7 linked regions of the Danio rerio genome follow. The protein of the gene in region 5 interacts with the protein of the main gene of each other region in a biochemical or structural test. Links are inferred from orthologs where the notes say so. Each region holds a gene or a part of one and is shown on either strand. Other genes may lie near its edges. The genes, in order: parp10, rnf166, atxn3, rnf114, si:ch211-202a12.4, usp19 and rnf168.

Region 1 (3,500 bases), on a different chromosome or scaffold from region 5:
TTCCAGCTTTGTTGTTGCTGTTTCACTTTATTATTTGACAGCCAAAAAATGATTATTCAAAAAATGATGTGTATCTGACAGCATTAAGGCGAACAGTGTCTTTTATGATTTAATTAATTTGTAACAAAAATAGTATGATTAAAGAAGAACGGCTAAATATGAAAATGTCATTTCCAAACATAACAATCAAATAATAAAATTAAATAAAACACAAACAGACAAACCTTTGTTTCAAATAATAATACAGTAAAGCTGTAAATTAAAGTAGCTCTAATCAGTTTAATAACTGTACATGATTGGCAGTTGCTGTAAATGCATGCCAGCATTAGGATCTGAAAGCATGTGATTAACCGTAGATCTTCTTGCATGTAATAAGGTATTTCGGATAAGCCTGTGTGTCATTAAAGATGACGAATAAAGTCGGGGAGTTGATCTGATCCGTCACGCTGTGGTATCTGAACGGTACGGCTGAATTCTCCTTGAGCGGAGCTGCCTTCATCTCGTGTTTTCCTACAGTGAACTCACCGGTGAGCACTTTGGCTACAAAAATAAACTTGTGCCCATCTGCATTAGGTGGAGAGTAGGTGTCTGACACAGACAGAGAGGCGTTGACCGCAAAATACACACCCTGACCGTATACAGTGGCTGGAAGAGAAGAAAAAAAATCGAATATTAAAAAATAATTAGTTGAATTAATTCATTTTATTACATTTTGTTTAAAAAACATGTTTGGGGCATTTACACACTTTCAACAACAACAAAAACAGAAAACAGTTTGTTAAATATGTGTTTTAAAGTGTTAGTTGTTAATAGAGATATGAAAATTTTATTGCCTCTGTGTGAACTACAAAAGCACAGTTTAGAGAAAAATAGTGGACAGTGATGGAAAACATATTTTTTAAAATCTGTTTTCGCTTCAATGTTAGTTAAAGATTTAAAGAGCCCCTATTACATGTCATATTTTAGTTTTAGGGTCTCTAATAACAGACTGATTTGCATACAAGGTCAAAAAACACTCTCATTGCCTCATAATATGGATTTATTCATTCATTCATTTTGTTTTCAGCTCAATCCCTTTATTAATCAGGGGTCACCACAGTGGAATGAACCACCAATATGCATTTATTTTTACCTAATTATACTAACCACTCCCATATGATTTGTTCGGCGATTCGTTTCCAGACCCTTCCTTAGCACAATGCTAATTGACTGATTGGTCTGATGATATAGTCTGTTGTAAAAGGACTGTGTTCTGTTACTTCCCGGTGTGGGAATATAAATGTATATAATCTAATTTCCAATTAACAATAATTTACATATAACTGAAAAGTTATATTCTTTGGTTTTTAATTATATCATTTCATTAGTATCCCAGCTAGGAGGGACATTTAACCTTTGGCTTTGTGGCTACAGGCTAAGCCAGGGGTGGGCAAACTCGGTCCTGGAGGGCCGGTGTCCTGCATAGTTTAGCTGCAACACTAATCAAACACACCTGAACATGCTAATCAGAGTCTTCAAGATCTCTAGAAATCTATAAGCAGGTGTGTGTGATTAGAATAGGAGCTAAACTGTGCAGGACACCGGCCCTCCAGGACCGAGTTTGCCCACCCCTGGGCTAAGCCAAAGTGATGCAAATGCTATGGGCAGGTTTTTCGGGTGTTGCTTTTATGCTACAGAAACCCTTGTGTTGATTAACTTGTGAGGTCAGTAGCTGGGCCAGTTCTTTTGCCAATTTCATGCCGACTTCAATACTTTATTTGCATGCTTAGTTTAGCCATCTCCCTTCCTCCTAAGAACACAATATAGACAGAACAGCCTTGTCTCAAATCAGACTTGTGATAGAACTTGCAGATTGCGGACCTCTAGTAGGCTCTGCAGACACATGGACTACGTGAAGACGCTGTATAACTGCAGATTAACCAACACGTCTCAATAAAGGAATTCTTCTGCTTGTTTCGAGTCTCCTGGACTGGGTTCTATATCTTCTATCCCATCATTTATTCTTTTTCAACAACTGTTATGAAGTAATGTTTAGAGCAGGGGTCACCAAACTTGTTCCTGGCAGGCCGTTGTTCTGCAGATTTGAGCTCCAACCCTAATCAAAATTCACCTGAACAAGCTAATCAAGGTCTTACTAGGTATACTTGAAAAACCCAGGCAGGTGTGTTGAGGCAAGTTAGAGCTAAACCCTGCATGGACACCGGCTCTCCTTGACCGAGATTAGTGACCCCTGGTTTAGAGTGTGCGCGATAATGACCACTTCATAGTAGGTCATTATCAAAAACCCTAAATAGGAGCTTGTTAAATACTTTGTTAGTTTGTGTAGTCATTTCTATTAGTTATTTTTGCTATTTGTTGATTTTTAAATGAACTTTTATTTTAGTTACTTTAGTACATTAAGTTAAACAAAATGCAAATGAGAAATTTCCATAGCAACTATCTGAGAAAAGGTTTAATGCATACATGTTAATTGTACGTAATTTTTATTTCAATTCAAGTAACAAACTTGGGTTTAGTTTTGCTTTTTAATCTTTTTAAAAATAAACTTTATCCTTTAATGTTCATACACTGTGTACGGTTGGTGAAAATTAACTAGGTCATATTTAATGGCTATAGGAGTGATTGCTGGAATCAAGACAACAGTAAACATTTAGGGTGATTTCACACCTGTGGATTGATGTATTTGTTCCAAAACAGGGATTAAAATTGTTACAGTGTTGCTCTTTGTTCTTGGTGCGGTTCGCTTTTACATGGAAAAGTTTCTAAATGGATCAAAAGAGCTAAAACAAGTCACGTGTGAGTAAACTCTCCTCACATTGGTAAGAGTTTCACTTTTTTTTTTATTAGAGTCCCGCTCAGCTGTCATGCGTCCTTGTTTTAATGTAAGACGATGAACAATAAGACACTATAAATGAAAAGCTGCGCTTTCAACTTGAATGATGACACCCACAGACATTGTCACCAAGTATAAATCTGAGGTAAGACTTTCTCACACAAAGCAGTTGGCTTATGCATTATAGGCTTTACATTATAAAGAGAAATAACAGATAAATCAAGACTGCTGTTCGGTCAATTTTCCTATTGCATAAACAGCTCTCATTAATAGTTAGCATGCTTTCACTTTCGTATTTAACATGAAATCCACATTTACCGGTAGGAATACCTCCCCCCCAACTCATAAATCTCTCTTCATATAGCCGTATTACATATCCTATTCTAGCTAGGATCGTATCGCTTTCTCACTACAATCGATCCGCTCCAGAGTTTGTTTCAATCGAGTCGAGACCACCTCATCCAGGCGATCTCGGACTGACTGTTTTGGCAGGGATCCAAGCATGATTGCTGGATTCACATATGCCAAATGAACCGCGCTAACTGGGGAAACGAGACAGGTTCCAAAACAAAGGTCTAGGTGTGAAAGCACCTCTAGTTTCTGTAGTACAGTCATTGACCATGAAAGGCAGTATTACCAATATGGACTTCATTAACAATTTTAAATT
Region 2 (4,112 bases), on a different chromosome or scaffold from region 5:
CATTTTGACCTTAATTTAAGCAAAAGAATAAGTATGTTATGCATAACAAAACTATTAAAGCTGTAAGTTCAACTGGGCTGAGGACAAGGACCATTACAGGGTTTGTACATTTGTAAAATGTTTTTAATAAAGAAAAACAATATGAGAATAAAATGAATGACATGTTTCTTTACAAACCTACTCACAGAAATCATCTATCAGTCCTTTATAAAATAGTTTGGTACGAAATACTTTTTATTCACTGTATTTATGTTTTAATTTCAGGGACAGATAATGCACATTTGCGGTAGAAAATCCCACTGATAAAATTTTACGATGTCACATCGGCACTTCAAAAAAAAATCACCACTATATTGTCCAAATCATATCTTAAACCTGTCAAAGAGCAGTTGTTTAAACTTACCCCGACACAGGGATCTTCTCCTGGTTACATTCCAGACCATTATAATCCTCTTCAACTTGACACATGACGGCTTCCAATTCACAAACTAATTGAAAACAAAACAACACGACGTAAATTCAGTTCGTTTAATGATAAGTCGATTCAGGAAATCATTATTATACAGAATCGTTAAAACAGCACATACTTCACGTGTGAGTTGAATTATGTTTTCCTGACTCCTTTTGATGACGCAATGTAACGTTAGCCACGCCCACACGCTTGCGTCGCTTGTTATTAGCCCAGTGTCTGGCATTAATACTTTAGTTGATGAATACTGTTTCATTCAGGTGTTATTACGGGTTATATATACATTTTGTCATGCAACAAAGGGCCAAAAGAAGACCCGTGCTATATAACTGAGAAATAGCCAACATGCTGGGCTGTTTCGGCTTTCTCGTTTTGTTGTTGTCACCCTACCGCCCTCTTTTCCTAAAAGTTTATTTCTACAAATTATACATTTTCTGTATTGATACGAAACTGTTCATCCCTCGCATCACTTTTTAAAGATTTTATATTTTTTGTTTATGTTATTGCATTTATGCATCGTCTCGTATCGCAAAAAGTATTTATCATTAAAATAAATAAAAACAAATATATAAACGTTAGATTTATTTCTTAATATATAAAAATGTGTATATATTTTTTTATTAAAAGCTTTGGACCTTATTTGTTACATTTTCTAAATTCACTTTGACGCCATCTATCTATGCTCTATGTAATTCTTATAAATGCAATGTTTGGGAAATGTAGTCCGTTTAAACAGTAGCTAAACGAAAATGATCCCTGTTAAAACTACAACTCCCACAATTTTTCTCGCCTAATCCGATCGAGACCGTTCCGTTAAAGCTACCATGTAATGTTTACTTCTTTGGAACAACGGCGTGTCCTCCTTGGTTAACACTGTTGGAGATTGCAGATGCGGAATCTAATGTCGAATAAATCACCTTTTCCCGGCGAGACATTCGTTAAAACCACGGAAATCTATTTGTATCGGCGGTATTAGTGGTTCGTCCTGCGGTTCGTGTGCATGATGGCGATGTTCCGCAGTTTTGTGTCCGCTGCTCAGCTCAGGCAGCATCAGCAGCAAAATGGAGCCGCAGCAGCCGCACCTGGGGAAAGCCTGGAAAGCCAGTTCTCCTGTCCCATCTGTCTGGAGGTCTACCACAAACCTGTCAGCATCGCAAGCTGCGCCCATACGTGAGTATCGTGGCCTTTTGCACATTTCCATCCAGTGTCTTCGTTGATTTACAGGCAAAACATCAATTCTGGAGTGGTCACTTTGGCATTGCCATGTATGTATACGTATGCATATATGTATGTCTGTGTTTACCTTTTACAGTACGTGCATTTAATGTCAAAATATTTAACAATATAACCCGTTTTACCGACCCTATTGTTATAGCTCGTGCATTGCAGTGCACACAAATCACATAACGTTACGCCTCCAATTTGACTTTAATTGTTGTTATTAAATATGACTTGGACATTAATGTCACTCTTCAAAGACGAAATACTGTTCGCATCCCTTTGTGCTTGCACGACTCCAACATCATGTTTCTTTGTCAGCTTTGGGACGTGAAAAGGATGCTCGACATTGCCATTATTTTAATGTGTTTATGGTTTTCATGAGCTTGCAAATTTCTAAACCGTCTAGATTATAAACGCATAGCATCTGTAACAGTTGAGGTAATTAGACTCACTTCCCATCCCTGTGATGCGCAGCAGAGAACAAAGCAAAGCTGTGAGCGATATTTCATACGGATGGTGGCTTTTTACTTCATTTAAAACCGTCCGACTCCTACATAAGATTTGTCTGAACCGAGTAATTATCGACTGATAATTAACTGATGTGTACTAAATGCATGTGAGTTTATCCGAGAACACGGGATTTCTACATTTAACAAAACAAAAGTAGTTCATCTTGGGTTGATATAGAGATGCGTTTTTTTATTTGTGTGGTAACATAATAAGGAGACTGAACAAAGCGCTGGTGTTTTAAAGAAACAGAAATAATCATGCCAAGGAATCAACCTGACATAAATAGCCCACCCCCACCTTTCCTCAAACTTGAGTTGTGAAATGAATCCCTGAATAGTTTCCTTAAATGATTCATTTAAACATTTAGTGAAAGTGAATGCTGTCATTTACCTCATTTTGACAGACGTCAAAAAGCAATGTAAAGTTAGCCTACATAATTCTGTATCTAATACTACATTGCTGTTGGTTTTTAATTATTATATGATTAGTTGATGATGTGTGCAATTGTGTAAAATTGTTTTACATTTTTGTTGCGAGTTAATGTGTGCAATTGTTTTACAGTTGGCTAAAGTAGTTTTAGAGTTCCAGAGGTCTTGACTGAATTACAGTTTTCATATCACGTTTGCATGTATCTAGGCTGCACGATATTGGAAAAATTAACATTACAATATTTTTTTCGGGTGAAGCAGTGGCGCAGTAGGTAGTGCTGTCGCCTCACAGCAAGAAGGTCACTGGGTTGCTGGTTCGAGCCTCGGCTCAGTTGGTGTTTCTGTGTGGAGTTTGTATGTTCTCCCTGCGTTCGCATGGGTTTCCTCCAGGTGCTCCGGTTTCCCACACAGTCCAAAGACGAGGTGAAGGTGAATAGGGTAGGCTAAGTTGTCCGTAGTGTATGAGTGGGTGTGGATGTTTCCCAAGATGGGTTGTGGCTGGACGGGCATCCGCTGCGTATAAAAACTTGCTTTATAAGTTGGCAGTTCATTCCGCTGTGGCGACCTTGGATTAATAAAGGGACTTAGCCGACAAGAAAATGAATGAATGAATGAATATTTTTTTTCCCACAATATATATATATATATTGCGATATAAATAAAATTTCATCAGATGACTCAAATCGCTTGATTCGCTAAGTCAAAACTTTGTTTGGGATGATTTTATAGGGAAGTGAAAAAAAATTATGTAATATATAATATAAATATAATAAACCAACTATAGTCATAAATAAACACAATGAAGCACATATTAAAGTAAAATAAATCATGCTTTACGTGCTAAATGTAATTATCTATCTAGTAATTAATTGCTGAAGCTAACTTATTGATTTATTGTATACATGTTCACAAAGTAAATAAATGTTTTAAATTATTTAAATTGCAAAATGATGATGAATACAAATTCATTTTGTTAGTTATTAACTTCATTTAATAAAATTATTACAACTTTTGGATTTTAACATTTTATTTGCCATTAGCTAAGAAGTTAACATCATCTAAGATTAGTAAATGCTTTTGTAGTTGTCATTACATTGACTTTGGTTAATTTAACTGCGGCTAACAAATAGATTCATAATGTATAACGTTAATGAACAAAAGGCCTATAAGTTATCACAGGAGTTTCAATGTTGTAGCCTAGATTATTTTTTCTAGAATTTGTTGCTGTGCAGAACAACCCCTGAAAAAACAACAATATGGATTTTCCTAAAAGGAACTCTAAAAGTTTATATATTTAATAATCATTCACAGTATTTTGAAGTGAACACGATATCAGTATTGTGGATGTTCATTATTATGATATGTTGAAATATAAGTCTAATGTCTGTATAGGTTTATAACAAAATATGACATTATGGTTAAAAATATATATATATATTTATAGTTTATTATTTGTTTTATTTCGGCTAGAATAAAGCAGTTTT
Region 3 (4,146 bases), on a different chromosome or scaffold from region 5:
TGTGTGTGTGTGTGTGTGTGTGTGTGTGTGTGTGTGTGTGTGTGTGTACCTCTGCGTCTCCTCCTCTCCGATCAGCTTGGGCCGCTGCTGCTGCTCCACCCTCATGATGCGCAGGATCTGATCCGCTTCACACTCCGGCAGATTCCCCCGAATCACAAATATAGAGTAACCTGCAGGAGGACAAGAGCAGCGCTGAAGCGGACACACACACACACACACACACACACACACACACACACACACACACACACACGATAATGAGTGTTACCCTCCTGCTGCAGCTGTGCGAGGAACAGGGCCAGGTATGTGTCTGAGATCAGCTCCGGACCCGTCAGCAGAGAGTTCAGGTTAAACCACTGACACACACACAAACACACAGAGAGAGAAAGAAAGAGTCAACAAACACACACCTTTCTGACCCTGAACACACACACACACACACACACACACACCTGCTGTCCCAGCTTGCGCACGGTGAACCAGTGCTCCTTATAGTTGCAGATGAAGGCCTTCTCATGCCTGAAAGACAGCAGAGGAGGATGAGTGTGTGCAGAGGAGACACACACACACACACACACACACACACATAGAGGATACAGCGCTCACACACTCACATGGGGTCCATCTGCAGCTGCTGGTACTCTCTGCTGTTGAAGAGGACGATCTCCAGACCCCACACACCCAGAGCATTGCTGATCACCTGCACACACACACACACACACACACACACACACACACACAAACACACACAGGTCTCTATAAACATTTAATTCATGTGTTCATCATCATCATCATCATCGTTTGTTTTCCACGTATTCCAGTGTTGGTTTCTGCAGCACATGTCAGAGTGAGCCGTGTCAGTGAAGCGTTCAGCAGTGTGTGCTGCTGCTGCTGCTGCTGTTCCTCTTCACCACACTGGTAAGCTGTTTATGCACTAAAGACAAACCAGTCTTAATGTGGGCAACAGTACGGGCTCTTCATGCCACACATTCTCTATTGGAGACAGGTCGGGGCTGCAGGCAGGCCAGTCCAGTGTCTGTCTCCTCTTCCTCCGCAGCAGGACTCTGTAATGCGGGTCCAGAATCTCTCTGTGCTGTTCAGCATTACTGGAGCATCACAGAAGAGCAGGTCACCTCTGCCCAGAGCACCGACACAACCCCAGACCATGACAGAGCCGGCCTGCTGCTGGTGTCAGTCTGGATGATCCTCTTCTTCTGTGGTCTGGAGCACACGGCGTCCATTTCTCCCAGAAACACCTGAAACTCTGCTTCATCTGAGCACAGGACACGTCTCCACTGTGTGATGCTCCATCCCAGACGCCCAGAGCCTAGAGAAGCGCTGCTGGACACTGTTAACATAGGGCTTCCTCCAGACTCCTTCAGTCTTTAATGCTGTTCTGCACTGCTGAAGGTGAAATCTCCACATGTCTTCCTCTGAGGATCATTGTGTTCACACACTTCACTCATATTCTCTCATATCTGTGCTCAAACTGGAGATCCTCGACTCATCTCTGCTCCTAAAGCACTAGAGCTTTCCTGATGAGCAGATCACCATCACCATCACCTGTGGACATCACATCATCATCCAGCAGATCACCTGATCACCGCCCTGTTTCTGCAGTCTGAATGACAGCAGAGGGTTCGTGTTTTCCGTCTGTCCCAGCAGCTTTGTCTGATTTGTTGTTGTAGTGTTTGTGAGGAGTAACGGGTAACTATGACTGACCTGGATGGAGAAGAAGCCGCTGTCGTCCATGTTCCCTGACGGCTGCTGCACACACAGAACACAGCAGGTTACACTGAGACCCTGAGCTCTGTGTGTGAGTGTGTGTGTGTGTGTGTGTGTGTGTGAGTGTGTACCTGCAGGAATGTGCGGTACTCCTCCGTCTGCACTCCTCCCTCCGCCATGCGCATGCGCTCCTCCTCGTCCAGCTGCTGTGCTATAGAGGAGAGCTCCACCGGGCTGAAGTACTCGCCCTGCAGCAGGTTATTCAGGCAGTGCTGCGCGCACAGAGAGCCCTCCTGCTGTAACACACACACACATACACACAGTAAACACACAACAACATCAACATCATCATCATCATCATCATCATCATCCTCCTGCTGTAACACACACACACACCATGATCATCATCATCATCATCATCATGCTGCACAGAGTACTCCTACTGTAACACACACACACACACACACACAAAATCTGTTTCACACATACACTACACACTCTTTGTCAACAAACATAAACACACACTTTCTTGCTCTCTTACACACACACTCTCACTCAGACTCTACATTTCTTTCTTTGTTTCACTCACTCACAAACTCTTTCACAACACACACACACACACACACACACACACACACACACACACACACACACCACACACACACACACACACACACACACCACACACACACATATCATCCTCGTCGTGTAAACTCTGCTCATGTCGTGTTTCCTTCAGCTCAGACACACTCTCCAGCACTCCCTCAGTCTACAGGCTCAGTGTCCTCCTCTACAGCGCTGTGTGGCGGAGTGCAGCAGTGAAGAGGAGCCGCTCTGGCGGTAAACACACATGTGCTGGACTGTCTGTCTGCCCGTGTCGGATGTTGACACTCGATAAAAGTCCACGAGCGCCTCAGAGATATCAAGCCGGAGCAGCAGACTGAACTCGACAGATCTGCCCTCCTGCAGGAGAAGCTCTCCCAGATCATCTACACATCACTCATACACAGCATTATCTGAAAGCGATTCTTACTTTTTCGTGGAATATAGACTCCATGTTTGAAAGTGTGTGAATGACGGAACTGACGGAAACAGCGACGCGTCAAAACATGTCAGAATAAGAGTCACCTAAAAACAAGCGCTCTTTGAATAAAAACTGCGGCAAGGCTGCGTTTAAAATCGACAGATTAAGATCTCCGATACACTATCAATTGAATTACACGTTTAGTCGATATAAATAATTTAGCAGGACATTTACTGATGTTACTTTCTAACCGTTCTGCTTGTCACGTGACGAATCAAAACATCAGGAACGCCGCCCAGTGGCGCGCTGCGCTACACCTCATGTGGACAGATCCTGATTAAACGCAGAACTTATTTGTTTTAAATGAGGTAATTCGATTATTTAATGTTTTTTAAAGTATTCACACTTTTGAGAACTTTGAAAATATTCACTTCAAGACACAAATGACTTTTTACTGATGTCTAGTAGATTTGTGTAAGCACAAACATCAAACAGACATCTCAGTGATGTGTGTGTGTGTCATCTGCTCAGTGATGTGTGTGTGTCATCTGCTCAGCTGCATTCACGCCAGTTTCTCTGCTCAACACATTATAGGAAGCTTGAAAACGGCTACTGTGAACCCCAACACACGCGTGTTAATGTGAATGAGGGAGTGTTTAAAGATGGAGCCTGAGCCTGGAAACACATGCAGACCCGTGAGGCAGAGAGAAACATCTTAAAATAAAACAGATCCTGCAGCAGTGGAGTCTGTCAGACATCTGCCACAGCGCTCAACACGTGTAGTCAATCAGTCAATCAGTCATCCAGAAGCAGAAATCTGGAGCGTCTGAAGGGGTTCTGGACACTGCATTGATCCGAACCACACAGAGGACAGTTTATGTCCACAGAGAGAGGGGCTCTCGATGTCTTGATCCAACACAACACTTCAGAACCATTTCAGTTCATTTCTACACTGCAAAAATGATCTTCTTAGAGTTTTTAATCTTGTTTCTGGTCCAAATATCTAAAGATTTCTAAAAGATCAGACCTCCAAGGCATTCGAGGAGGAGGATAAAAGTTTAAAAGCCTTTATTACCATTGAAATACTGACTTTCACAAGTGCGCTGCACAATCCTGCTGTTTTACAGCAATAGTCATCTCAATAGAGGCTTTTTCACTTATATTTCAGGTGCGCTGGACTGGTGATTTTAATATGCTGTGCTGGTCTAGAGAATGCTTCTTTCTTAAAGAATTGAAAGATATTTGGACCAAACACAAGACAGAAACTCTGAGTAAGTAAAGCAGTTTCTGCAGAGCATACAGTCATGAAGTTGATCCTCCACACGACTGACCTGGCCATGCAAATGCAAATGCCAAACACACCATCATTAGGAGAATTGGTTCGGGGCGGCGCATGG
Region 4 (4,154 bases), on a different chromosome or scaffold from region 5:
GTCCATGTAAACTTGACTGACCTCATTTTTACAGCCTTTGCACTTTCCGATTGATCTCTTCATAAGGTCTTGTAAATGGTCATCTTTAGCCCACTTGCGCAGATCAGTCCTGCAGACGGCACACACTGGGCTTTGGGGCCGCAGACACTCCTGAAGGCAGTCGTTACAGAACCTGAGCGGAAGAGAGAGAAAAACACTGCAATTGAGTGCTTTCAGTTGAAAACAAAAAATAATTAAACAAAAAAAATCACTCATCAGAATATATGAACTGGACATTGCTGAAGTGTCCCCAGCTTATGCATCATTCACCACCACCACCACTACTACTACTACCATAACGATGACGATGACTAGTACTACTACTATAACGAAGAGTACTATGAGTACTATTTACACACCCTGCCTTGCAGAATACAATAATTTTAATAATTTCAACAAAATAGGATGGATCATAGTGAATGCTAGTTTTGAGTACTACTCAGTGGCATAGCGCAAAATGTGGGGGCCCCCCTGCAGGGATCACTAATGGGGCCCACTGATGGGGGGGAAATCACAAACTGAGGGGACACGGAGAGTCGTGGAGCAACGACGCGAGGAAGCGATCATAAATTGAGGAGCGGGAAAGGGGGGCGGGGTGGAAAGACAACGCGGGGAAGCCTTCACAAACTGAGGAGCCATCACAAACTAAGGAGCGGGAAAGGGGGGCGGGGTGGAGCGACGACGCGGGGTAGCCTTCACAAACAAGCAGCGAGAGCGTCAAAGTAGCCGGAAGTCCTTCAATTTCAATGAGAACCGGTGGCGAGGAGCAGCGCGTCGAGTCTTCTCCGGTGTGGGCATCGAGGAGGACTTGAAATCAAGTCAACTTTATGGTAATATGCTATGATGTGGTTCGGCGGCAAGCAATCAGAATGAAGTAGTCCACCGTTTGAGAGGAGTTGAGAGAACACAGACCTGGGAACTTTGGTTCCGACCACAGTTGTTCCCAGGGGTTTGATTATTGTGGTTGCCGGATTTTCAATTATTAAAAATCGCAACAAGGCGGGGCCCTTAATCACGCGGGGCCCCCCCGCGGAGCGTGCCCTGCTGGCCCGTCCGCTACACCACTGGTACTACTCCACATGAGCTAGATATTTACATATAAGACAAAATAATAACTGACTAAATCTATCCTGTTGAAATGTTTACACACCCCTGAATCAACTGTATGAATGTTTGTGATGGTTTTTAATGAGTCATTTGATTGTCCTGAAGAGTTCAACCAGCTGCTGTAGTTTAGAAAAGGCCTTCAGCTCCTGCAAATTCTTCAGTTTACTGCGTCTTCTTTATATTTTTACAGCCCTACAACAGTGACTGTGTGATTGTGATGCCCATGTTTACTGACGAACTCAAGCAAAACATTTACCGAAAGTGAAAATGTTTCCTGACACTCAGCACATTCACATTAAGAGCAGGGGGTGTAAACTTTTACACAAACTAAAGTATACATTTTCAATTATCACTGTGCTTCAGCAGCTAATACTAATACTAAATAAGTACAATTTACCTCAATTGTTCATTAAAAATCATTATATTGCCTTTTTGAGTAACTGATATATAAATAAAAATGAATTAAAAATGTCTAATGTTTTGTGGATTCCACTTTTCTTTACTGCTCTATTAATAATTAATATTCCAAACAGATTGAGTAACTTAACTTTTTTAAAAATACACGTTATTAATCTAAAGTGAAATACATTTTAAAAACCGCCTTCCCTACACTGCCTACAGCACCTTAACCAAATACAAATACTCTGTAAATGCTATTATTTTGCACTTTTAACTGATGTTTGCCAGGAATGCTTGTAATTGAAAGGCCACATCTGATCTGACAAGACAGGCGCTGGGTGTTGTTTTCCGGTTCTAATTACGTGTACACTACAACTCCCACAATCCCACACTGCAAAGTTTTGTACACAAGAAGCAAAACTGAAAGTAACCAGTTTCTGTCTTATAAAAAAAATCGCACAACAACAGCACTTACTGAACAGTGTCCAACACAATCACATTAAGATTAAGGCGGAGGTCACGAAGGTTGTGAATCGCTTTGAGGTGATGAGGGGATTAACATTAAACTACTCAACATGTCAACCGAGAAGTTGCTGCTAGCAGACATGAGCTCTCCAGAATACTCACGTATGTCCGCACTGCGTGGTCATGGGCCGGACGAATATCTCCAAACACACGGGACACACGAAGTCGTCGTCTTCAGCATCGTTTACGTCGGTTTGCGGGTCTATTTTGAGCATGGCCATTTCTGCTGCGCTGTGTTCCGTGTTCTTGAACTCCAGTGAGATTCACTTTTGTGAGGGGAGGAGCAACAACTCAGCTGATCTCCTGATGCACATGAACGAGAAACAACATTACAGCTCTTATTAGACGTACGACAAATAAAAATAGCCGTTTGCTAACAAATAAATGCAACATATAGTAGGCTACATCTGTTGTGGCTGTGTTGTCTTTTACGTGCGTAGTTATAAGCGAGATCTCGCTAGTGCTCTCCGATGCATAAACGAGTCATTTGAACCGGCTCTTTTAAATGACCGACCGAATGAATGAATGTGAAAATGACTCGATTGGAGGTTGAATCAGACTGTAAAATAAGAACGTAGAAGTTTTTTTGACGTTACTTTTTTTATTATTGATGGGCAATGCAAAATCTAGTCACAGTATAAAGAAAAAAAAAATGAAAACTTTAAATAAAAATGTTTTAAAAGAAATGCATAAGGATATTTACATCATCATAAATTAAAAGAAAATAGTATATGATTTACAAATGTCAAAAAAGTTTCTAAGCCTACCCTAAACTATATATTTAATTACATATATATTTATATTTAATATATATATATATATATATATATATATATATATATATATATATATATATATATATATATATATATATAATTACATTACACAAAGGGGGAAGTCTTTCCAAAGCAAATTAGAATAATTGCTTTCATTTATTACCAGAATTAATGAAAGTAGAACATTTTTAGGAGTGAAACTTGAATACGGGCGACGTTTTAGAAAAGTAATCTAAAAAGTATACTTCGATTCATTAAAATAAATAAACATTCAAATAGAAAATAAAATATACTTATATGTGACAGTTATATATCTCGCAAATCTTAATTAACTTTTACATAGCTTTTTTTTTATCCCAGAATAGTAAATAAATGCCTGTAAAATCTAAAAACAACATCTGACCTCGCAATTCTTGCATTTGTCTTGTTAGAAACGTAGATCAAAATATTAGCATTTAACATACAATTTCACAATTGAGAATAATCTTAAAAATGCAATTCTTAGTTATATGTTGCAATTTTTACTTAAAAAATTATTATTTCACATGTTGTGTATTATTTAATATTATTCTCAAAAAATTTGTTGGTAGAAATATAAAAATCCAGACATTCATAAACAATGGAACAATTCACATTTAAAATAGAATTCATAGAACTGATCCTGTGTACACTATTTAGATTTTTTTTAGTAAAGCATGTACAATCAAAGGTATTTTTTTAAACAGAGCCTTAAAGCCTAGAGGATATTTTTTAGAATGATTGATTTGAACATTTATGTTAGTATTAATACATTATCTAAATTCATGCAAATTGATGAAAATTGTTCATTCTGTTTAGATCATTCAGAGTCTTTTGAATGTCAGCATTAAAAGAAGTTTTGGGATGACTTATCTCTGTATGTATCGGGTTTTAGATGGAATTTAACATCATGTGCTAATTTATTTTGACTGAAACAAACTATCTGTGGAATTTATAATGAATATTTTGATTTTATTTGGTAAATTTCATATCCGTAGAAGGAATAATACTAAATCTTAAAGGTATTCATTATAGATTTTAATTTTTAAATATACTCGCTACAGTGTATTGATAGCAAGAAATGTCAAAATACGATGATAGTTGCAAAGGAGTTGAAGCTAATTGAATAGAAAACTTGCTGTCTATTGTAAATAATGTCTTACCTATAGCTGCTGATATTGTAAAAGTTTTTATATTGAGGTTACGTGTTTTTATTCATTCTTGAATATTTAAATAGATTTTTAGTTAATTTATTTTCTTTTATGTTTTAGTTAAGTCTGTATTTATCTG
Region 5 (4,117 bases):
AGATACATTGCTCTCTGAAGGGCACTTCGTAGTGATAAAATTATGGCCGCCATATTGAAGTGTCATTCAAACTGAAGTGATCAAAAGCCCCCCTAGGAATAAATGAGTTTGAAAAATAAAACCGATGAACATTTTGGGAAATTATCCTTTGAGCAGGGAAGCTGCTTGGTGTCAATTATCATTTAATTATACTTTGGTGGGAAATTATCTTTTGAGCAGGAAAGCTGTGTGGTTTTCCACACTACACTCAATTCGAAAGGACTCATCCCTATGCGCTAATCTCTTTAGAGGAACCCTCTGAAGGGATTAGGGCATAGGAATGAGCCCTTCAGATTGGAATCCATCATGTATTTTTTTTTGTTGGTGGTTGAGAAAGTGCATTTCTGCCACCTATAGGACTGGAGTATGAAACTTGGTTGGGGGCTTAAAAAACTGTAACCACTTTTAAACCTAATTTTCCAGTCCGGAGACATTCAACAATCCAGATGACACCTTAATGATCTCTTTAATGTGGTAATTCTAATGTGTGATTAACACTTTACTCAGATTTCTTTCAGTTATTTTTCAGAATAATTCTATTTATTCTCTCTTGAATTATGTAATTTGTTATTAAGCATTTTTATGACAGTAACTTGTTTAATTTTTTACACAAACTTTTTTGCGCTGTATGACCAATGTATAATCTTGCAATTATCACATTTTTATTGTTTGCTCTGTTTTCCACGCAAATGTATCCTTATAAATGTTTTTTTTTTTGTTCTCCCATTCTTCTGCCTGCTCACTTTACTCAGCTGTACCCTGAAGTTAATATCAGGGTTCATTATTACCATACACAATCAGTTTCTTTTAAGCAACCAAAACATCCACTGGAACCCACGCAACTAACTATAATTCATATTTTATAATGCTGTATAATCTCTGGTCCTGTAATACGATGTATCTTTCCAGACTGTTCTATTTTTGTTTATACAGTATGTCAGTTCTTCTCTTTGCCTGGTCTTGTCTGAATCACCAATAGCAAAGCGAACAAACACTAAACCAGCCAATCACTGCCTGCAGGTTGTCCTACAAGTCCAGCCCATTCCAGCACATTGTGGAAACTTCCTTTATGGGTAATTTATGATTAAATTATACGTTTCAAATATTGATACATAACTTGTATTTATTTTTAAAAAATCAAATAATTCCATAGTTTTAACATTTATTTTAATTTTTCAAACGAAAAAAAGGTTTTGACTACTAAAAGACCCGCTCACGTGACATGAGAACGTCACGCTGTTGGGTTTGTATAAAAACAGTTTCACTCGCTTCATCGGCTGATTTTTCTGCGAAGAAGAGAAGAACTTATTCACTTTCAGAAGCAGTTTCAGCGATATTTATAAGGTAAGAAAGCTATTCCAGTTCGATTTAGAACCTTCATAAAGACCTTTAGGTATACTATTATTGATATTTCGTCATTCCTGTTTATTGTATTGATTTTGGCGCTCATATCCTCGACATCCTAACTAAATGTAAAGAAGTAATTTTACAGTCCTTAATGCTTTGACTAGAGTAATACTCATACGATGTTATTTTCCCAAATTGATACGTTTGCTTTTTAATTGTTAAATTGTTCAATGTCGCAGTTTGTCAGATTAAATTATGCTGAGTCATGGCGCTGTATGAACAAAGAACCCGGATATTACTGTACAGCGGCCATGTTTGTTGTTGCGCATTACCGTTTTTAAATGATGACATTGTGCAATTTTTTAATTATGTAACTTATTGTTTTATGTAATTTAGGAGGTAATGTTAACATAAATAACTATTTCGATATAGTGTATGAATGAAATTACAAGTTCATAACTCAACTTTTATTATATTTCTAAAAAACAAACATTTTTAATATGTAGGACCAGACGGAATCTGCGGGCGTTTTTTGCTATTTTTGCGTAGAATTTTGCTAAAAATCTGCGGATTTCTGCGGAATTATTTTGGGAGTATCATAACTAAAACCTTAATATATGAATTTAAAAATAATATCTTTTAAACTTTCATTTAATGTTTAAAATGCAAATCCAATTAGATTCACTTTATTTGGTAAACAAAGCAAGTCTAATATAATGTATCTACTAAAAGACAAAGAATCACTGTACAAACTGCATCGTATATAAATCAGATGAACATTTTCATACAAGTCAATAATATTACTGTTATTAAAAAGTAAATAAATATAGATTTACCCACATTTACTCTAGTAAATAAATAGAATTAATCATGGACTTAAATTTGCGGAATTTTGAGTGCACAGATATAGATAGATAGATAGATAGATAGATAGATAGATAGATAGATAGATATAACCCCCGTTTCAATTTTAACTATTTTCTGTAAAGCTGATTCTGGGTTAATGTAGAGTAGCTTTTACAAGGCATGCATGTCCACGTAATGATTTCTATTACCTAGGAGACACCCTTAAGTTATTGTCTCAGGTAAGAGGAAATCACCCCTACAGGGTTGTGCTCTATAGAAAAACTTAAGCTTGAAGCATCTGGATTGATATTGGCATAAAATAAAGATTTTAATAATTTGCTAATATGCTAATAATAATTTGTCACAATGTGACAATGTCCTTGTTCAAACTGTTAGGGTAACTAACATTTACTCTATTCTTCCAGTTAAACAGGCACTTTCATGTAATTTGATAAATTAACATGTTGTAAATCCAGCATCCCTCCACTAACATGGTGGCACCCATGATCATTATTAATCTGTGAAATGGAAATGGATGCGTTTGTATCATAATATTCATTTATCAGAATATGATATTTTCTAATATATTTAGGATGTTAACCAATGTTTGCATAAAATGACAAAATAAGTGAGAAAATTATATACATAAATCTTCAGGGCTGCAATGTCACATGATAAACTTGATGCATCGTCATGGAAGTCTCAAAGTGAGAAGTTTTAAATTATCGTCAGATTAATAAAACATTTAGTGGGGGTCAGAGAAAGATTTAGAACTTGTGTTTGTGAAAGGATGAGCTAAAATCATTCTGTATTGTAATAGATGTGCTAACACATTAGCCCTGCCCTGAATTAAGCCTATGCTCTCAGATTGACAGATACTATATGTGGTAGGAGGGTTGCACGGTTTACCGGTACTATGGTAGCATCACGATACTGTGGCTTCAAAATACTGGCAGTGCCACTGTAGTTTGTAAACGGTAGTATCTTCATTACCGGTCTATCTATATTATGTAGTGTTGCTTGTGAAAGTGATTAATGCTCACACATATGTGCATCAATAGACCATTTTATTTGAATAGTCTGTGGAGCCCCTTAAGGTTGCATGTTTTTTAACATTTCAAACGCACACCTGAAGCGGTTCATTCTGTTTCTGGCAATGTGATTTAATAGCTACAGCAACCGCAGCAATCTCTTAAAAACAACTTAATGTCTTAAAAAAATATTTTTAATTACTTTGGATTGTTCCCTGATAAGGCTGAAAAAATAAAAAAATAAATGGAAAAACCCAAAATAGTAATATTTGAACAACTTTTGACCACTTATATTTTTCATCACTTTCATAATTTTTTTTTTAAAAATGCTCTTTTCGTAACAAATTCCATTTTGTTTATTTGTATCTTTATTCTAATGTATTTTTTGTTGATCAGTTATCTACAAAATAAACAAAGTATAAATAAATTTTAGGTGAAATAGTGTGCAAATAATACTTATTTCTTTAATTGAAATTAAATTCATTTAATCATCATTCATTTAATGAAACTCAAGTAGACCTATTATAACATATAAAATATAGTATTTATGACAATTTTCCTTATAATTTGAGTTATGAATTACAGTATGGCATTACTATATGGTATCGTGATACTTCAGCTGGTATAGTATTATAACGTGAATTAATGGTATCGCGACAACTCTAACATGTGGTGTTCCAAAAAGATTTCTTTTTGAAGATTTAAGGTAAAATCTTAGATCAGTCGTATAAATCTGTACAAATTTTAGTCATTGCTAATCTTCTTTTGATAATTTGTTTACAGATGCAGATCTTTGTCAAGACCCTTACTGGTAAGACCATCACCCTTGAGGTCGAGCCAAGTGACACCATTGA
Region 6 (3,500 bases), on a different chromosome or scaffold from region 5:
TTGAGTAACTTTCAGTATACCTGACTGGAAAATCGACCATGTCATTAATCTTGTCCCTCCATATGAAACTCCTAAATGAGAAGCGCTTGAGCTGGATGATGAGTACATTCGGAAGACGCCAAAGTAGGAGCTGTTTAGAGGCCTCTCTGTGCTGCTGACACTTAGGACAGTACCTGAATAAAAAAAAAAAATATGATCACACATACAGTTCTATTTGAACACTTTCTATGGGCACTCTGAGTGCGTGTTCATACCATGCCTCCTCAGGGGCTAGGACCTCAGGTTTGGTAAAGAGGTTGAGGCACTGCTCTAAGGTGAAGTGTCCTGCCCTAGAGGTCTCGGTAGCAGAGCCTGGGTCCTCATCGAACTCCAGATCTTTAGAGCGCACCAGCACATATTCCTTCTGCCGCTCGTTGTTCTTCCACACCAGCTCTAGTGTGCACTCATCAGGCAGCTCCAGTACCGCGTCACCTGCAGGAGACAAAAAGATGGTGAAAACACACAATAAGGTTTGGTACTGAAACCCAGAGCCAATAAGGCAGAATCAGAACACAGACTTTGGAGCAGAAATGGTTGAATTTGATGCCTAAAACTTAAAAATAGTTTAAAATATGTGGTGGTTCAAATGACAATAAATGCCAAACAAATCACAATACAACTGGCATAGCAGTTTTTATGAACAAATTCCTCAAGAAAATGACTTCCTTCAGAAGAGCTAATGTGGTATTTTCTTTTCTTCTCATCCCTGAATGATACATATTAAAGTTCTGTTTGAAAGTGCAGCACTGCTTTATTTAGGGGAAATAACCCTGGAAACATTATTTTATAGCTATTGAGAAGTTCAACCTGCTTGTAGAGAGTAAAATCTGCTTTTTGCTTCAGAATTTTGAGGTTAGAGGACATTGTAGTCGTTTTTTGTTGACTGTTCCTTTAAATGCAAATAAGCAGGATCTCCCCACCCACTCATCCCACATGCGTGCGTCACATCAGATAAACAGCAGTCAGTGAAATAAGCTTATTTAATGTTTTTGTTAGGGAGTTTATTCAAGCATTTTAGCAACGATGAGTTACATAAATGCCGTTACAAACACACGTACACACAAATACACACGTTTAATGTGCACTGTTTTTGCACGTCTACTTGCAGCAAATGTGGACATCCATTATGCTACTGTACAAAAAGGATGTAACATCCACAAACCAGGACTCCTGTTGTGTGTTTGTATCCTCGTATAACCTTGTTTATATCCTTGAATATAGTTGTACTAAAACTGTGCGTTTTTGTATTAAACATTACTTTTTACATTAACGGTTTTAAAACTGTTTAAAATTCATTCTTGGGGTGCAGCTGATCATAGAGAGTTGAACAGATCTTTTAATCCCAGATTTTTTTGAAAATCCTGTCCTGTGGACATGTTTGTATGTGCTACTACATAGACATGTTAATACACTCCTGTCAATTAGTTTGGTAGGTGGAAAAAAAACATACTCCTGCATCCCATAGTGGAGGTCCTCAAAAATCACTAAGAACTAAATCCTATTTTAACGTCAGGAAATAAAAAAATTAATTAAAAAAAGAGACTTTTTACACACAGTTCTGTCTAAACAGCTTCCAAAATTTTATTTGGTATCATAGGTGCCCTTTAAATATATATTTTTCCATATAGTATCAGTTCAGGCACTAACCCCAAACATTTTACAAAACAAAACCTCTGACTGACCTTTCTCTTCAAGTTTTTTGTCTTCCTTTTGGCTCGAGTCCAGAATAGTGATGTAAAATTGAGATGCACCTCCACTCGCCGACTCAGAAGGCTGTTGATACCCAGTTACTACAGCTGCCAATGAACAAACAATGATGAACTATAACACCACACAACAACAAAGACCTGAGTGAAGAGCCTTAGACCAACTTACCTTCTGGTTTAACAGCCTTTTCACATGACGTTTCTTTCTCCAGCAGAGAATCATGGGAGCTGGAGGCGAGCTCACAGCAACCAGAGTCAGTGGTATGTGTGGAGAGAGTGTCTCCTCCATCTGCTGCACTCTCCGTTTGTGAGGCTGTGACAGATTCATCCTGCTCTGCTGGGTTTTCTGCGTCACCCGCTGATGGCAGGTCCTTCTCTTGACACTCTGGGACGCTGCTCGCCATGGAAGTCAGGTCAACACGGGACAGACTGGACTCAGGGGACGTCCGACCTGACTGGAAAGGTGGCTGGAACACATTGACAGAGTACCTGCACACAGAACTCAAGACTCAAACAGGGCTACTACTTCATAGCTTTTAAATGATTTTTTAGGTCACCATAGGTTAAAGACCTAAAATTAATCCACACAAAATATTCAAGACTACAAAAAAAAAGTAAAATTACATCATATTCTACAAAATTACAGTAAAAAAGTTAAATACATACTTCTATAGGACAATCCTACATGAATGAGTATATATAATATAAAACTGATTAAAATTGTTATTAAATAAATAAAAAGCAGCTTATAACACTATTAAAACAAAGATGTTATAAAAATACTTAATAAAATTATTATGATACGATAATAATAAAAATATATGCTTTCTAAATAAAAAACCTACACAAAATTGGCACAAAAATGCATACAATGTATAAAATGTACATAAAACCTTACAATCTATTTATTTAAAAAATAAATAAATGATATACAAATAGACTGACAGATAAAGCAATAAATAAATAAATACTAAAATTTTATCAGTGTTTTAATTATATCTTCATCTAATCCTGACTGAATTACACAGATAGGTAAACAAATCTGAATATAGCTGTAATTATACCTAGAGTAGCCTTCTAGAAGCTGTGTGAGGCGAGTGTAAGAAAGTCTAGACTCAGGCACGCTGATTAAAAATGGCTGTCCAATGTTTTCCACATTAGACCGACACATAGTCTTGTGAGAAGGCCAGTGGTTCTTCTGGCAGGTCCTGTAATCAGAAAAAATTCTTACTACCAACTACACCAAAGGCAAAATCTCTAAATCTTATGTGTGATGTCAAAGCCAGAACAACACACAACTCACTGATTGCAGTAGCCGACACGATAACAGCGTGTGCAGCGCTTCAGCTTCTCATCGTCAGAGGCAGGAGGCTTCAGACAACCAGCGCACTTTGTGATTGGTATGCTAGGAATCTGAGGTCTCTGAAGATAAAAAACACATGATTATAGCAAGAAAACAGGCAAATGCTAACAAAAATCGGCAATAGTTAAGGGAAGAAAGTAAGAGCGGTGTAAATGGCGTACCTGCTGGACCTTCAGCAACACCACTCTCTCTTTGATGAGATCTTTTGACAGCATCTCAAAGCAGAAGAGCAGGTCACTGGACGAGACCGTGTCTAAAGATTGAGACGGTAAAAAGATTCTGTGGAACCTGCCCTTCACAACCTGAGGGGAAAAAACAACAAAACATAAATTAGAGTGTATAGAACTTTTCAATGACACACAACTAAAGCACTGTAAATATGTCTGCTAAAG
Region 7 (3,500 bases), on a different chromosome or scaffold from region 5:
TATCTTAATAAGATATAATCTCAAACAAAAGTTATCAGTATCACTTCATTTTCTCATGCCCTTTTTCTTGTCTGTTCTTGATGGAAGATTTTTTAGATATTTAAACTGGAAACGAGACAAAATGACTAAAAAAACTTTTCTGCAGTGCAGCTATACATGACTACAGACGGAAAAAAATGGCGAAGTGAATAAAAATGTGTCTTTGGTCTTGAAATGCAAAGTAACTCTACCACCGCTGCTTTACTGCTGTTATTAACTCTTTCACTGCTGAGTTTAAAAGATTCTCTCTGGCCCGGGAGTCAGTTTTTTTAGAACATTTACCCTTAATGTTTCCATGGCGACGTACAGCCATGTATGACAGATGTATCCCTTTTATTTAATTTTTTTATTAGTTTTTAGTTTTTTTAATTCAACATATTTACACACTTGCTCATCATGTCATCAACTACCCAATATTCCAATTCACATAAACGTGTAAGTGATCGTGATCTATTGACCTTATTCTAAAATGCGGAAGTGCGCCTGTTTTCGCGATTGTCTTAGAACTTCCGATTCAGTCACCTATGGGAGAAATGACTAGGAATAATAAACGGCAGAAAACGGTCAAACTACTTGCTCTACAAACAAATGTTTGCATGACTATACAAACCAAGTAGAAGAATATAATAAGAAAATATCAAATTGCAACATCAAGCAGCATAATGAGCAGTTTTTAATGTCTAAAAATGAATGGAAGTGAATGAGACCGGAAGTCTCGAGCCAAAAAGATTCAAATGGCAGCACCCGCTCATAGGCGGAGAATAAGGTCAATAACGTGGCGCTGAACTCTGTATCAGTGCGCGAGAGACAGAGAGAAGCCGTGTGTGCACTCCGCTTCGCGCTGAGCTAAAGTTTTCATTATTTTTTTTTTTTTTAATCAAACGTCTCCATGTCGCGTGACACGACGAATCGATAATGAAATTTATTGCCAACGCTTTTAGTAATCGATTTTTATGGATTTAATCGATTTGTTGTTGCAGCACTAATATGTAGTCTTGTTTTCAGACACACTGATCTAAATCATGCGAGTTTAGGCGTCAACTCACTTTATTTTGTTAATTTTCTAATTTTCTCAGACATTTTTACTGCATCTAATGCGATAACGTCATGAAATAGAGGCTTTATTGCTTTAATTTTTGGAAGGGTAAATTTAGACTGCAAAAAAAAAAAAAAGATTAATTTAAATACTTTTTCTTTACAATTATGTATTTCAGATTTCTAAAATGAAACTATGCTCTTCAAATGTTATCAGTTTGCTTTATATCATATCTAAGAAAGATTTCTGTTAATTACAATAGTAATAATTTCATTTCATTCATGCATAAATTACCTTATTAGCCATCAGGGAGGAGTCTGGGCTGCTGTCAGAACTGCTTGGCTGTTTATGAGGCACTGGACGCAAAAACCTGGCATGTAAGAGAATGCAGTGCTTTTCATAACAGCTCTTTCATCACATTTAACAACAAAAACCAGGATGACACTGATGTACTTGGGCTCCACAGCAGCTACTCACTTCTCAATATCCCCCACACTTGGTTTCTTCTTAGCTGGCGTAGCTTCGGCAGGTTTGATGTTGCATGTTGATTCAGAGGCTGGTCCTGAATTCTGCTCAAACAACATAAAATAGATATTAAATAGCTCCAAATTCAAACCGTTTCAATGAGGGTCACAGAGCAAATGAACTAAACCATGCAGTATAAAACGGTCATTTATTAATGTCTGTTTAATGTCCATTATGATTTTTTTTTTACATGTTTGAGCAGAGAGGAGTGTGTCAGTGAACGTGTCTCGGCTCTTGTAATCTCACCAGTTCTAGGCTGAGCAGTCTGGCCAGTTTCTCATCGTTCTCCAGCTGCAGCTCTTCTTTGCGTCTCCTCTCTTCCTCCAAGCGCTCCTCTTCCTCTGCCAGAAGCCGCTGGATGTACTCCTCGCTGGCTCTCCTTTCAGCCTCCTCCAGGGCTCGCTTCTCCTCCACAAGCTGCACAAAAAAACAGGAAATCAGGTGATTAGATGAATTTTGACTTCATATGCGCTGGTGCACAAGACATTGCATTGTACATTAAAGAAAAAAAATCTGAAGGGGTCATATTATAAATTGTAAAAATTAAAATATATACATAAATAAAACTTTGAGGATGGACATTACTCACTACTATTTTTTGAGGTCAGGTAGGTTTTATTTTAAACCTAGCTAGCAACCAAATGTGATAGTGGCAGGGCTCGAAATTGCGACCATTTTGGTCGCATATGCGCCCGAAAATTTATCTATGCGACCTCATAATATATCTGGGAGCATTAGTGCGACTGCAGATAATGGTTGTAGTGCGACCTGTTTTGATTTTTTGTAAAAACGTGCTGAATCGCTCTTCCCTGCCGCTATATTGGTTCATATTAGCTGTCATTCACTCACGGTATTCCGCTGTCAGATGACAGGGAAGGAGCTTTTATGACCACGGGAAATGCAAACGGCTGAAGAGTGAAAACTTAAAGCACACAGGTTTGCAAACCCCACCTAAAGTTGAGGCGCAGATAAAAGCGATCATGACACGTCACGTGGTGAATAATGATCCGCCAGCTGAGATCAATCGAGTACGCGCTTCTTGGAGAAGGTGCCTGAATCTCCATGCGTTGCATTCACTGCGTGTTCAGCGCAAATGTCCGCTAAAAGTCAAATCTAATACTGTACATATCATCGCCAAAGAAGCTCGCCTTTACTAAGGTAACACTGAAACTGCGGCTCATAACAAAGACCGGTATTGCGCCGATGGTTAGCGCAAGAATCCTGCTCAACCTGCTCATAAATTGGGTCGGCTGACTCGCCAGCTTTTCCACAAACACAGAAAAATGAAGATCACCTTAGACTGAACCTTTAAATTGACACAAACTGAAACCAAAACTTTTAAAGAGTGATAGAAGTGAGACTTTACTTATTTTCTTTTGTCTATTCTTTTTTGAGGTGTATATTATTTTTTTATTTATTTACTGATGACTGCTTTGCAGCTTTCATCATTGAATTGAATGATTTATTATAATATTTTGTTTGTTTTGTAGCAGAAATATTATTTATTAAATTGACATGCATATAAAAACAGCAGTACAAAATAAATATTTCTTACTGCAATGCTTCATTTGTTTGATGCAATCTATACAATTATTTTTCATAAAGTAACAGACTTTTTATAGCAGATAACCTACATTCATGCACATTCAAGGCAGCACCATAATGAGAAATGAAATTCATTTTTACTATTATTGTCATTTTTTATCATCATTAATATTCTATGGCCTAATTATTAGACATTCATTTTGGAATTATTGCACACAAATATCAATGTCTTCACAGCATTAGTTAGATAGTTGTTTCTAGTTTTTGTCAGTCCTATTAATGTTGTTTTAAAATACAATAAATCCCTTAAAAAACAATTTGCAGCGGTGCTCATTCATTTTTGGTGGGTGCTCCT

Evidence for each region.
Region 1: the proteins of si:ch211-202a12.4 (region 5) and parp10 form a complex in vitro, tested with the Homo sapiens proteins (3 studies listed by BioGRID). The link is inferred for Danio rerio from reciprocal best matches to the Homo sapiens genes UBC and PARP10.
Region 2: the proteins of si:ch211-202a12.4 (region 5) and rnf166 form a complex in vitro, tested with the Homo sapiens proteins (3 studies listed by BioGRID, with this or other methods). The link is inferred for Danio rerio from reciprocal best matches to the Homo sapiens genes UBC and RNF166.
Region 3: the proteins of si:ch211-202a12.4 (region 5) and atxn3 form a complex in vitro, tested with the Homo sapiens proteins (20 studies listed by BioGRID and IntAct, with this or other methods). The link is inferred for Danio rerio from reciprocal best matches to the Homo sapiens genes UBC and ATXN3.
Region 4: the proteins of si:ch211-202a12.4 (region 5) and rnf114 form a complex in vitro, tested with the Homo sapiens proteins (6 studies listed by BioGRID, with this or other methods). The link is inferred for Danio rerio from reciprocal best matches to the Homo sapiens genes UBC and RNF114.
Region 6: the proteins of si:ch211-202a12.4 (region 5) and usp19 form a complex in vitro, tested with the Homo sapiens proteins (4 studies listed by BioGRID, with this or other methods). The link is inferred for Danio rerio from reciprocal best matches to the Homo sapiens genes UBC and USP19.
Region 7: the proteins of si:ch211-202a12.4 (region 5) and rnf168 form a complex in vitro, tested with the Homo sapiens proteins (8 studies listed by BioGRID, with this or other methods). The link is inferred for Danio rerio from reciprocal best matches to the Homo sapiens genes UBC and RNF168.

What each region holds. Positions count from the first base shown.
Region 1 is NC_133194.1:13,059,300-13,062,799, forward strand, and holds the end of parp10 (protein mono-ADP-ribosyltransferase PARP10), read right to left. Parts: intron 646-3,500; coding exon 347-645; 3' UTR 8-346; downstream 1-7. UniProt on the Homo sapiens protein: ADP-ribosyltransferase that mediates mono-ADP-ribosylation of glutamate and aspartate residues on target proteins. In contrast to PARP1 and PARP2, it is not able to mediate poly-ADP-ribosylation.
Region 2 is NC_133182.1:56,248,410-56,252,521, reverse strand, and holds the start of rnf166 (E3 ubiquitin-protein ligase RNF166), read left to right. Parts: upstream 1-1,312; 5' UTR 1,313-1,469; coding exon 1,470-1,639; intron 1,640-4,112. UniProt on the Homo sapiens protein: E3 ubiquitin-protein ligase that promotes the ubiquitination of different substrates. In turn, participates in different biological processes including interferon production or autophagy.
Region 3 is NC_133192.1:59,465,416-59,469,561, reverse strand, and holds the start of atxn3 (ataxin-3), read right to left. Parts: upstream 2,801-4,146; 5' UTR 2,783-2,800; coding exon of another isoform or gene 2,759-2,782; 5' UTR 2,449-2,758; coding exon 2,416-2,448; intron 2,022-2,415; coding exon 1,857-2,021; intron 1,768-1,856; coding exon 1,723-1,767; intron 701-1,722; coding exon 615-700; intron 520-614; coding exon 453-519; intron 357-452; coding exon 269-356; intron 171-268; coding exon 50-170; intron 1-49. Other genes in the region: gamma-aminobutyric acid receptor subunit rho-1, read left to right, coding at 4,054-4,146. UniProt on the Homo sapiens protein: Deubiquitinating enzyme involved in protein homeostasis maintenance, transcription, cytoskeleton regulation, myogenesis and degradation of misfolded chaperone substrates.
Region 4 is NC_133198.1:3,522,264-3,526,417, forward strand, and holds the start of rnf114 (E3 ubiquitin-protein ligase RNF114), read right to left. Parts: upstream 2,801-4,154; 5' UTR 2,292-2,800; coding exon 2,173-2,291; intron 173-2,172; coding exon 22-172; intron 1-21. UniProt on the Homo sapiens protein: E3 ubiquitin-protein ligase that promotes the ubiquitination of various substrates. In turn, participates in the regulation of many biological processes including cell cycle, apoptosis, osteoclastogenesis as well as innate or adaptive immunity.
Region 5 is NC_133180.1:42,862,283-42,866,399, forward strand, and holds the start of si:ch211-202a12.4 (polyubiquitin-C), read left to right. Parts: upstream 1-1,317; 5' UTR 1,318-1,383; intron 1,384-4,046; coding exon 4,047-4,117.
Region 6 is NC_133198.1:23,061,067-23,064,566, forward strand, and holds part of usp19 (ubiquitin carboxyl-terminal hydrolase 19), read right to left. Parts: intron 3,411-3,500; coding exon 3,270-3,410; intron 3,168-3,269; coding exon 3,049-3,167; intron 2,954-3,048; coding exon 2,810-2,953; intron 2,235-2,809; coding exon 1,915-2,234; intron 1,836-1,914; coding exon 1,722-1,835; intron 472-1,721; coding exon 255-471; intron 174-254; coding exon 21-173; intron 1-20. UniProt on the Homo sapiens protein: Deubiquitinating enzyme that regulates the degradation of various proteins by removing ubiquitin moieties, thereby preventing their proteasomal degradation. Stabilizes RNF123, which promotes CDKN1B degradation and contributes to cell proliferation.
Region 7 is NC_133190.1:4,302,428-4,305,927, forward strand, and holds part of rnf168 (E3 ubiquitin-protein ligase rnf168), read right to left. Parts: intron 2,018-3,500; coding exon 1,847-2,017; intron 1,645-1,846; coding exon 1,553-1,644; intron 1,446-1,552; coding exon 1,370-1,445; intron 1-1,369. UniProt on the Homo sapiens protein: E3 ubiquitin-protein ligase required for accumulation of repair proteins to sites of DNA damage. Acts with UBE2N/UBC13 to amplify the RNF8-dependent histone ubiquitination.